Linked DNA regions of Canis lupus familiaris. The protein of the gene in region 1 interacts with the protein of each later gene in a pairwise test. Links are inferred from orthologs where the notes say so. Each region holds a gene or a part of one and is shown on either strand. Other genes may lie near its edges. The genes, in order: UBQLN4 and SPP1.

The links.
Region 2: the proteins of UBQLN4 (region 1) and SPP1 interact in a two-hybrid assay, tested with the Homo sapiens proteins (2 studies listed by BioGRID and IntAct). The link is inferred for Canis lupus familiaris from reciprocal best matches to the Homo sapiens genes UBQLN4 and SPP1.

What each region holds. Positions count from the first base shown.
Region 1 is NC_049228.1:41,755,752-41,759,568, forward strand, and holds part of UBQLN4 (ubiquilin-4), read left to right. Parts: intron 1-2,444; coding exon 2,445-2,670; intron 2,671-3,705; coding exon 3,706-3,817. UniProt on the Homo sapiens protein: Regulator of protein degradation that mediates the proteasomal targeting of misfolded, mislocalized or accumulated proteins.
Region 2 is NC_049253.1:28,635,558-28,639,876, reverse strand, and holds the start of SPP1 (osteopontin), read left to right. Parts: upstream 1-1,277; 5' UTR 1,278-1,418; intron 1,419-2,521; 5' UTR 2,522-2,532; coding exon 2,533-2,586; intron 2,587-2,696; coding exon 2,697-2,735; intron 2,736-4,319. UniProt on the Homo sapiens protein: Major non-collagenous bone protein that binds tightly to hydroxyapatite. Appears to form an integral part of the mineralized matrix. Probably important to cell-matrix interaction.

The DNA.
Region 1 (3,817 bases):
TTAGAAAGTGTTTGTAGGGATCAACTATGAGGTTGTTTTTGTTTTTGTTTTTTTTAAAGATTTATTTATTTATTCATGAGAGACACAGACTGAGGGAGAGAGGCAGAGACACAGGCAGAGGGAGAAGCAGGCTCCTCGCAGGGAGCCTGATGCGGGACTCGATCCTGGATCCTGGGATCATGACCTGAGCTGAAGGCAGGCACCCAACCGCTGAGCCACCCAGGCATCACAGCTATGAGTTTTTAAAAGACTTTATTTTAATAAGGTATATAAAGAAAAAATATTTTATTTTAAATTATGTTTAAACGTTTAGTTTAAAATGTGTATCAGGGCAGCCCCGGTGGCTCAGCGGTTTAGCGCTGCCTACAGCCTAGGGCGTGATCCTGGAGACCCAGGATTGAGTCCCACGTCGGGCTTCCCTGTGTGGAGCCTGCTTCTCCGTCTGCCTGTGTCTCTGCCTCTCTCTGTGTGTGTGTCTCTCATGAATAAATAAATAAAATCTTAAAAAAAAATAAAATGTATATCAAAGTAATGCATGCATCTGGTTAAAAAGAAATTGAGCTGAGGATGGATTATATAACAAGCACTCTGGCTAATTCTGATGCAGGCTCAGTTGCACGACCCACTATAATAGCTGGAAGAACAGAGGTTTGGCATCAGCAAACCGAGGTTCAAATACTTTCTCTGCCACGTTTAGTGTGCAGGCGAAAGTGGGGTGCTTCACCTTTCTGAGTCTTAGTGTTCACATTTCCAAACTGGAGGCAATGTATTAAAGCAGTGGTTCTCAATTGTTTTGGCCTCTGGACTGCCTTATACACTTAGGAATTATTGAGGGCCCCAAAAAGCTTTTGTTTTTCTGGGTTAGAGCTATCAATATTCACTGCATCAGAAGTTAAAACTGAGAAACCTAAGGAGTGTTTATTTATTGTTTTAAAATAAGTGCAAATCCACTATATGTTAATGTAAACAGCGTATTCTTTTCAAAAATAACTTTAATTTCCTAAACAAAACTTTAGCGGAGAGTGGCATTGTTTTAAATTTTGCAGACTTCAAAAAAAAAAAATTGCAGACTTCTTTAATGTCTGGCTTACTTCAGGACAGCTGGACTCCCAGCTTGACTTTTGCATTTGGTCCATTGCAATGTCATGTGTCATATAGCCTCTAGAAGAGGCCACTGACCACTCACGGAGACAACAAAAGTGAAAAAAAGGAAATAGCACCTCAGAACTATAAAAACAGCATTAAGCTTCGCAGGGGTCCCAGGACCACACTTTGAGAACTGGTATATTGGAGGGCTATTGTAAACATTAGCATAAACGTGCCAGGTGCATAGTAGGTGCTCAATAAGTGGCAGCTGTTATTGCTCGAGGGAGGTCAGAAAGGGGTTCGGTGCATAGAGCGTCCTGAGAAACACAGCAGGATGCAGAACCCAGTGGTGGTGGGAGCAGGGTGAGTCATCAGGACAGGATATCTGAAACCGGGACAGCCTGGGGCCGTGTGGTACACGAACCCTGGCCTGCTGGCCTGTTCTCAGTAGACATCTGGTCAGGTGGAGGAAGTGCACCTCAGAGCTGGAGGGCCCTGGGTGAGCTCTGGGCCCCATGACCCACTTTGATGAGCAGGAAACCCCCTGGTGAGGAGGGGCTGAAGCTGCTCAAGTGAGGACCATCCGGGACCTCAGGAAAGGGAGCCTGAGCAGGGAAGTAGGGTGTAGACTCTTTCAGCAGACACACCCCTGGACAGAGCTCTTTCCTGGGTGCTCAAGGATCCGGAGAGAGGATGTTTCAGGGTTGCCTTGGGCAGCACACCACACAACGGGGTGCAGTGGGTGACAAGCGGGGGCCTGTTGAGGGAAAGGAAGGAGGCTGGGGAGGAGGAGACATGTGTGAGGCATGTTCAGCCAGAGATGGGCTCCTCTGTGTGTGCCTGGGTACATAGAATACCACTTAGGGGACCTGGAGGGGACGGTCTGGAGAGTCCGTGGGACCAAGAGGGCTCAAAAAGGGGAAGCGTCAGGGCAGGTCACAGCTCCCATCAAGCCGACAGTTACTTATTGAGCACCTACTCGCGTCAGGAGAGGGGTCAGGCGGGGAGCATAGATGACATTGTCTCTGTCCCTGAGGAGCTAAGGAAGACAGCTGTGTCGTTACATGGCGGGGAGAGCGTGTATAGAGTACCATCAGGCACAGAGGACACTAGAGACCAGTGTTTAGAGCCACCAGGGAGACGGTGACCCAGTGATCAGCACTGGCCAGGTCCCACCCTGCAGGACGAGGGGGTAGCTGCCCATTGTGCGGCTGGGACTGGAGCACAGGGCCTCCCGGGTCTCAGAGCCCTCTCCCTTGCCCGGGGAGGGGAAGCCGTTAGGTGAGAGGACACAGAGGGCCTAGCCCTTGCCCCTGGTGTGTTTCAGCCCTTAACCCAGAACCTTTCCCTCCTCCCAGTTTGGCAACAATCCCTTCTCTTCCCTGGCCGGGAACTCCGACAGCTCGTCCTCCCAGCCTCTGCGGACTGAAAACCGAGAGCCCCTCCCTAACCCCTGGAGCCCCTCGCCCCCCACCTCCCAGGCCCCCGGGTCCGGGGGGGAGGGCACCGGAGGATCGGGGACCAGCCAGGTGCACCCGACAGTCTCGAACCCCTTTGGGATCAATGCGGCTAGCCTGGGGTCAGGTATGTCCTAGGGTGGAAGGAGCTTAGTGGGGTCACCAGGGGAGTCCCTCTGCCCCAGGACTGATTGGGGCTCACGATGCTCCAGAATACTGAAGACAGGTGAGACCGGATTGAAGCCACCTGGGGGAGTAGCTCCACCCCTCAGAGGACGAAAGGGTTCTACTGGGCTGTGTCCTCCTGTCGTGGAAGTAGCCTGAGTGATGGCTCACCAATAAAGCAGGCCCTGCTTCCAGAGCTCTCACAGCCCTGCTGGAACTGTCCAGTGTAAACGGATTGGCCTGGGGAGGGGCATGTGGGAGAGGAATTGGGGCACGCCTGGGGCAGGCAGGTAGGAGGCCCGGGGGGAGAGGGATGTGCAGAGCTTTTCTGGATAGAAGTGGGGGTTACACACTGCATAATCCTTGGGGAAGCCCCATTTATCTGGATTGCGATCGTACATGTGACCCTGGGGATGTCTTTGATTTGTGTGTACCCCCGCGGGGACACTGTGATCAGAAAGTCCCTTCCTCTCTGTGTGCTTCAATTCCCTTTTTTGTAAAATAAGGGATTTGAACCTGATCCGTGGCTTTAAAATTATACTCCTGAGTCCTGGGGAGTCTGGACCATCCTCAGGAGGAGGAAGGACCGAGTGGGGGTGCTCCAGGCATCCTGCCAGGCTTTAACCAAACTGTTGGCATATTTGATGTTTGAGTGGGATCTGGTTGGAGGAAGGGGCCTCTGCCACTAAGACGAGTCTGCAACCCATGAGTCTAGGTGACCTCTATCAGATCCTTTCCAACCCTGACCTTCAGCAGGAATAGCCTGGGGGGCTTGAATGAGACCCACTTTCCCACTAGCTTGTCCTTAGCAGAGCAGCTGGGAAGGGGCTGGCCCAAAGCCACAGGGACCCTTGCCCCTGTACTTGGGAGCCCGTGCTCCTGCTGCCCTTCTGAGTTTTGGAAGCACCCAGCATTGCAAGGAGGGAGAGCGGAGGGAGGCATCTGGTTTCCATCTGGACCCCTTTTCTCCGTTCCGTTGACTTCCTCCTCGTTCCAGGGGTGTTCAACAGCCCAGAGATGCAGGCCCTCCTCCAGCAGATCTCTGAAAACCCCCAACTGATGCAGAACGTGATCTCAGCTCCCTACATGCGCAGCATGATGCAGACGCT
Region 2 (4,319 bases), on another chromosome or scaffold:
GGAATCAGAGCTATGCTACCTCTAATTTCTGTTCTGATATTCAAAGTCACCTGTAATTTTTTTATTTAAATACCTTTTAAATACCCAGTAAAGTTTTTTTTAATATGGAAAAATGTTTTTAATTTTATTTTATTTATTAAGTAAAACCTTTATATATCGTGGGAGAAAAACTGGAAAAAAAATGATTCATAGAGCAATCTATTCCTATAGTGATATGAAAACTACCTTATTGATGTACACAGTTTAAAGATCATACATCTAACCTCATTCTAATAACCTATTCCACTTAAAGATATTACAAATGATGACTACTTGCTTCTCCAAAACTTTCAGGAATAGTTAACACACACAGTGCTTCAAATATGCATATAATATGTGCCAAGTGTTGTTAGTTTTGCACATACTAATTCATTCAAACTTCTCACAATCCTCATGAGCTAGATAATAGCGTGTGTATTTGACAGATGAGGAAACAAATATAGGTAGGCTAAGTGACTTGCCCAAGGTCAAACAGCTAATGGTGGCAGTGTAGGACTCAAAGCCACACTCTGGCCCCAGAAGCAGCCTTCTCAAGCAGTAACACTGCTCCCAGTCAGAAACTACTTTACTTCTGCAGTATATACAGTAAATTACCATTCTTCTATTTTGTATAGCAAATTATCTGATTCACCACCTCCAAACAATTCAAACAGCACAACAAAAATTCATGTCCTTGAAGGGTCATCGTAAATCCAACTTGAACATGGGCATGAACATGGAATTTAGTGTTAGTAATGTCATTTGTCTAAATGACAAGCTGCTATATACTTGAAATCACAATACCAAGCTTGAGTAGTGAAGGATGGAGGGGGCCTCTCTGAACTCTTCATACACCTGAAGGAGAGATAGCCTCGCACCTGTTAAACAAGTATATCTGTGAGGCAAATTTGGTTGCATATATGACCTTAATCTGCTATTTAACCTGAAAGAAACAAAAGTCTATTCCATTTTATTTAAGACTAATTTAATATTAATATTTTTTTCTTCTAGCTCAGAAATTATAGACTGTTTCAAAGAACTAGTCATTCCTCCCCACTTTTTTGTAGGACCCCTAGATGCCCTTCCACCATGCTAAATGCCAACCCCATAAATGAAAAAGCTAGTTAATGATATCGTACACAAGTAATGTTTTAACTATAGTTTGTGTGTTTGCTTCTTTGTTTTTTAACCACAAAAACCAGAAGGGGAAGTGTGGGAGCAAGTGGGTTGGGCAGTGGCAAAAAAACCTCATGACACATTTCTCCGCCTCCCTGTGTTGGTGGAGAATGTCTGGAGCAGCATTTAAATTCTGGGAGGTCCTGGTTGTCAGCAGCAAGAGAAGGAGAGAAGTGCAGCATCGTCCAAGACTGGGCTCTCTTCTCAGCCAGCCACAGAGCAAGGTAAGCCCGCAGTTCACTACCCCGTGTATTCAGCTTCATTTCAGGGGCAAGGGCAAGTCGTGAGGAAAGGAATTGAACTGTAAAGCTGTTAAGCAGACTTGAATTGTTCTAGGCTTTTAAATGAGCATGGGGATACGTTACAGATTTCCTGGAGGAAAGGTAACTGGTTATTTTAAAAGCCAGTCATTTATAGGACTCAAAAATACTTTGAGTCCTCAAAAGAACTGAAATTATTTCTTCCAATCAGAAGGAAAAAAAATGAAAAATTCTATGCCCCTTTCAAATAACTATATACATTAATTTAAATGGGTAGATGGCTGTGGAAGCATTTAAAGGGATAAAAATCTTTAGTGGTAATGTAAGCTAATAATAATGCTATGTTTTAATGATTTAATGTATCCAACCTATTTTCAAGAGAAAAGAAAAACCTTCTGAATAATTTACTTCTGTATTTAGCTGTTAGATTTTTCACCAAAATAACTGTATGACACTATTTAGACTTATTATCATGAATAGAAAAGCTGTTGACTATTTTCTATGTTTTGGTTTCTGTTTCAAATTTCTAGAATGCCTTTCTTAAATAACTGAGTTTTGAGACAGCCTCATTTTATCTAAGTGGTACCTTCTTAATAATTTCAGTTATAAATCACACTTAAAATGCACGCTGGAAAGATGGAGAAAGCAAGTTTCTTTCTATAGTTCTATTTTCTTTCTTCCCCTTTGTGTTTTTCTTCTCTGAGAAATAAAGATTCCAACACTAGCTTATTATTTTAGTTAAATTACTAATGATCTGTTTTTAGGTTGAGATAGCTGGAGCTATCAGGGAGTAATGATATAATTCCTGGAATTCTAAATTTTAAAGTTGAATATAGACTTGGGAGATTCCGCTCTCCCTTGCCTAATAGTGAGAGATAAAGAGGTGGCATTACAAATATTAACTCAAAAGAACATAGTGTTTGAAACAAGAGTTTTCTCCAAAAGGCAGAAAGTATTCTACAGAAAATATATTTTATTAGTAATGATTTTGTGATGTGGTAGCATAAAGAAGTATGACTGTTTTACCCTACAAAGAAACCGAATATTCCTTATAAAATATTTTGCAGGAAAACTCACCATGAGGATTGCAGTGATTTGCTTTTGCCTCTTAGGCATTGCCTACGCCATTCCGGTGAGTACAGCTGCATCTTAAAGGAAATTTCTCAAAATAAATGAATTGTGTGCTCCCCTGTGCTAGGAACACATTCACATTGTTCTTTGTTCATTTTTTCTATTTCAAAGATTAAGCACGCTGATTCTGGGAGCTCTGAGGAAAAGCAGGTAAGCATCTTTTCGGTTTATCATGTAATTAAATTATATGCAGCTGTACAAGAGGTACTACAAACATATTTGTTGCCATTTTACTTATCTTCATAGTCTTGCTGTTGATTGATAAGTATTTACTGACTGCTGCTTTCAATCTAGGCCTGCTAAGTACACTTACAGATGGTCCCCAACTTATAGTGCTTCCATTTACAGTTTTTCAACTTTACGATGGTAGGAAAGCCATATGCTAGTAGAAATCATACTTCAAATTTTGAATTTTGAACTTTTCCGGGCCTGGTGATGTATGGTACAATATTCTCTTGTAATACTGGGCAGTGACAGTGAGTTGCAGCATCCAGCCAAGCCACGGGATCACAAGAGTAAACACCAATATGCTTCCAACTATTCTGTATGCATACAACCATTCCATTTTTCACTTTCAGTACAGTATTCAATAAATTAAATGAGATATTCGATGATTTGTTATAAAATAGGCTTTGTGTTAGATGCTTTTGCCCAACACAAACTAATGTATACATTCTGAGCATGTTTAAGGTAGGCTAAGCTGTGCTATGATGCCCAGTAGGTTAGGTGTACTAAATGCATTTTTGACCCACCATATTTTCAACTTGCAATGGGTTTATTAGGACATAACCCCATTGGAAATTGAGGAAGATCTGTGTAGTTTTTAGTAAATATATGCTCTTAACACCAAACTAGTTCTTTTATATAATAAAATAATGCTCTAGGCCATTGTCATTTATATAAAATGAATTCTAGGAAGTCAAGTGAATTTTTCTTTCCATGAGTCAACATACTGTACTAGACATAGAAAATTCCATCCATGCTTTTTTAAGTTTATTTTTTTTAATATTTTATTTATTTATTCATGAGAGGCACAGAGAGAGAGAGAGGCAGAGACACAGGCAGAGACACAGGCAGAGGGAGAAACAGGCTCCATGCAGGGAGCCTGACATGGGACTCGATCCCGGGTCTCCAAGATCACACCCTGGGCCAAAGGCAGGCACTAAACCACTGAGCCACCCAGGGATCCTCCGCTTTTTTAAGTTTAAAATTTGTCTCACATACTGGATAGTTTGTATGGCCACAATATTCATAATATCTACTAAGATATTTGCTAAGAAACCCATTAAAAAAGAAAGGTTTTTATGCTGTTTGGATCTATTATGCTTGTCAGCTGACTTTAGATAACAATTTTCTAACCGAGCATAAGACCAAATAAAACCCTTTATTATAACTCTTTGACCAGCACCATAGATGTACATGCTCCTCCAAAATAGGTAAAATTGTGCCAGCCAAACAACAAATGGGCATTGTCCTGAGGAGCTTAGGCTAAAAGATACACAGAGTTCAATCCCAGATGAACAGAATAAAGGCCTGTGTAGTGTTCTCTGGGGTCACTGAAAGTAGATTGCTTAATGAAGACATTAGGAGATGTTTTGCTGCAAGTGTCTAGGTGTGCAAGTAGGTGTGTATAGGCATGTCTGTCTTCTAATTGATTTGAGAAAACAAATACGGAAGCACATTAATAAGCCAGAAAAATTAACATTTCCAAAAAAAATAGAGGTCACACTATCT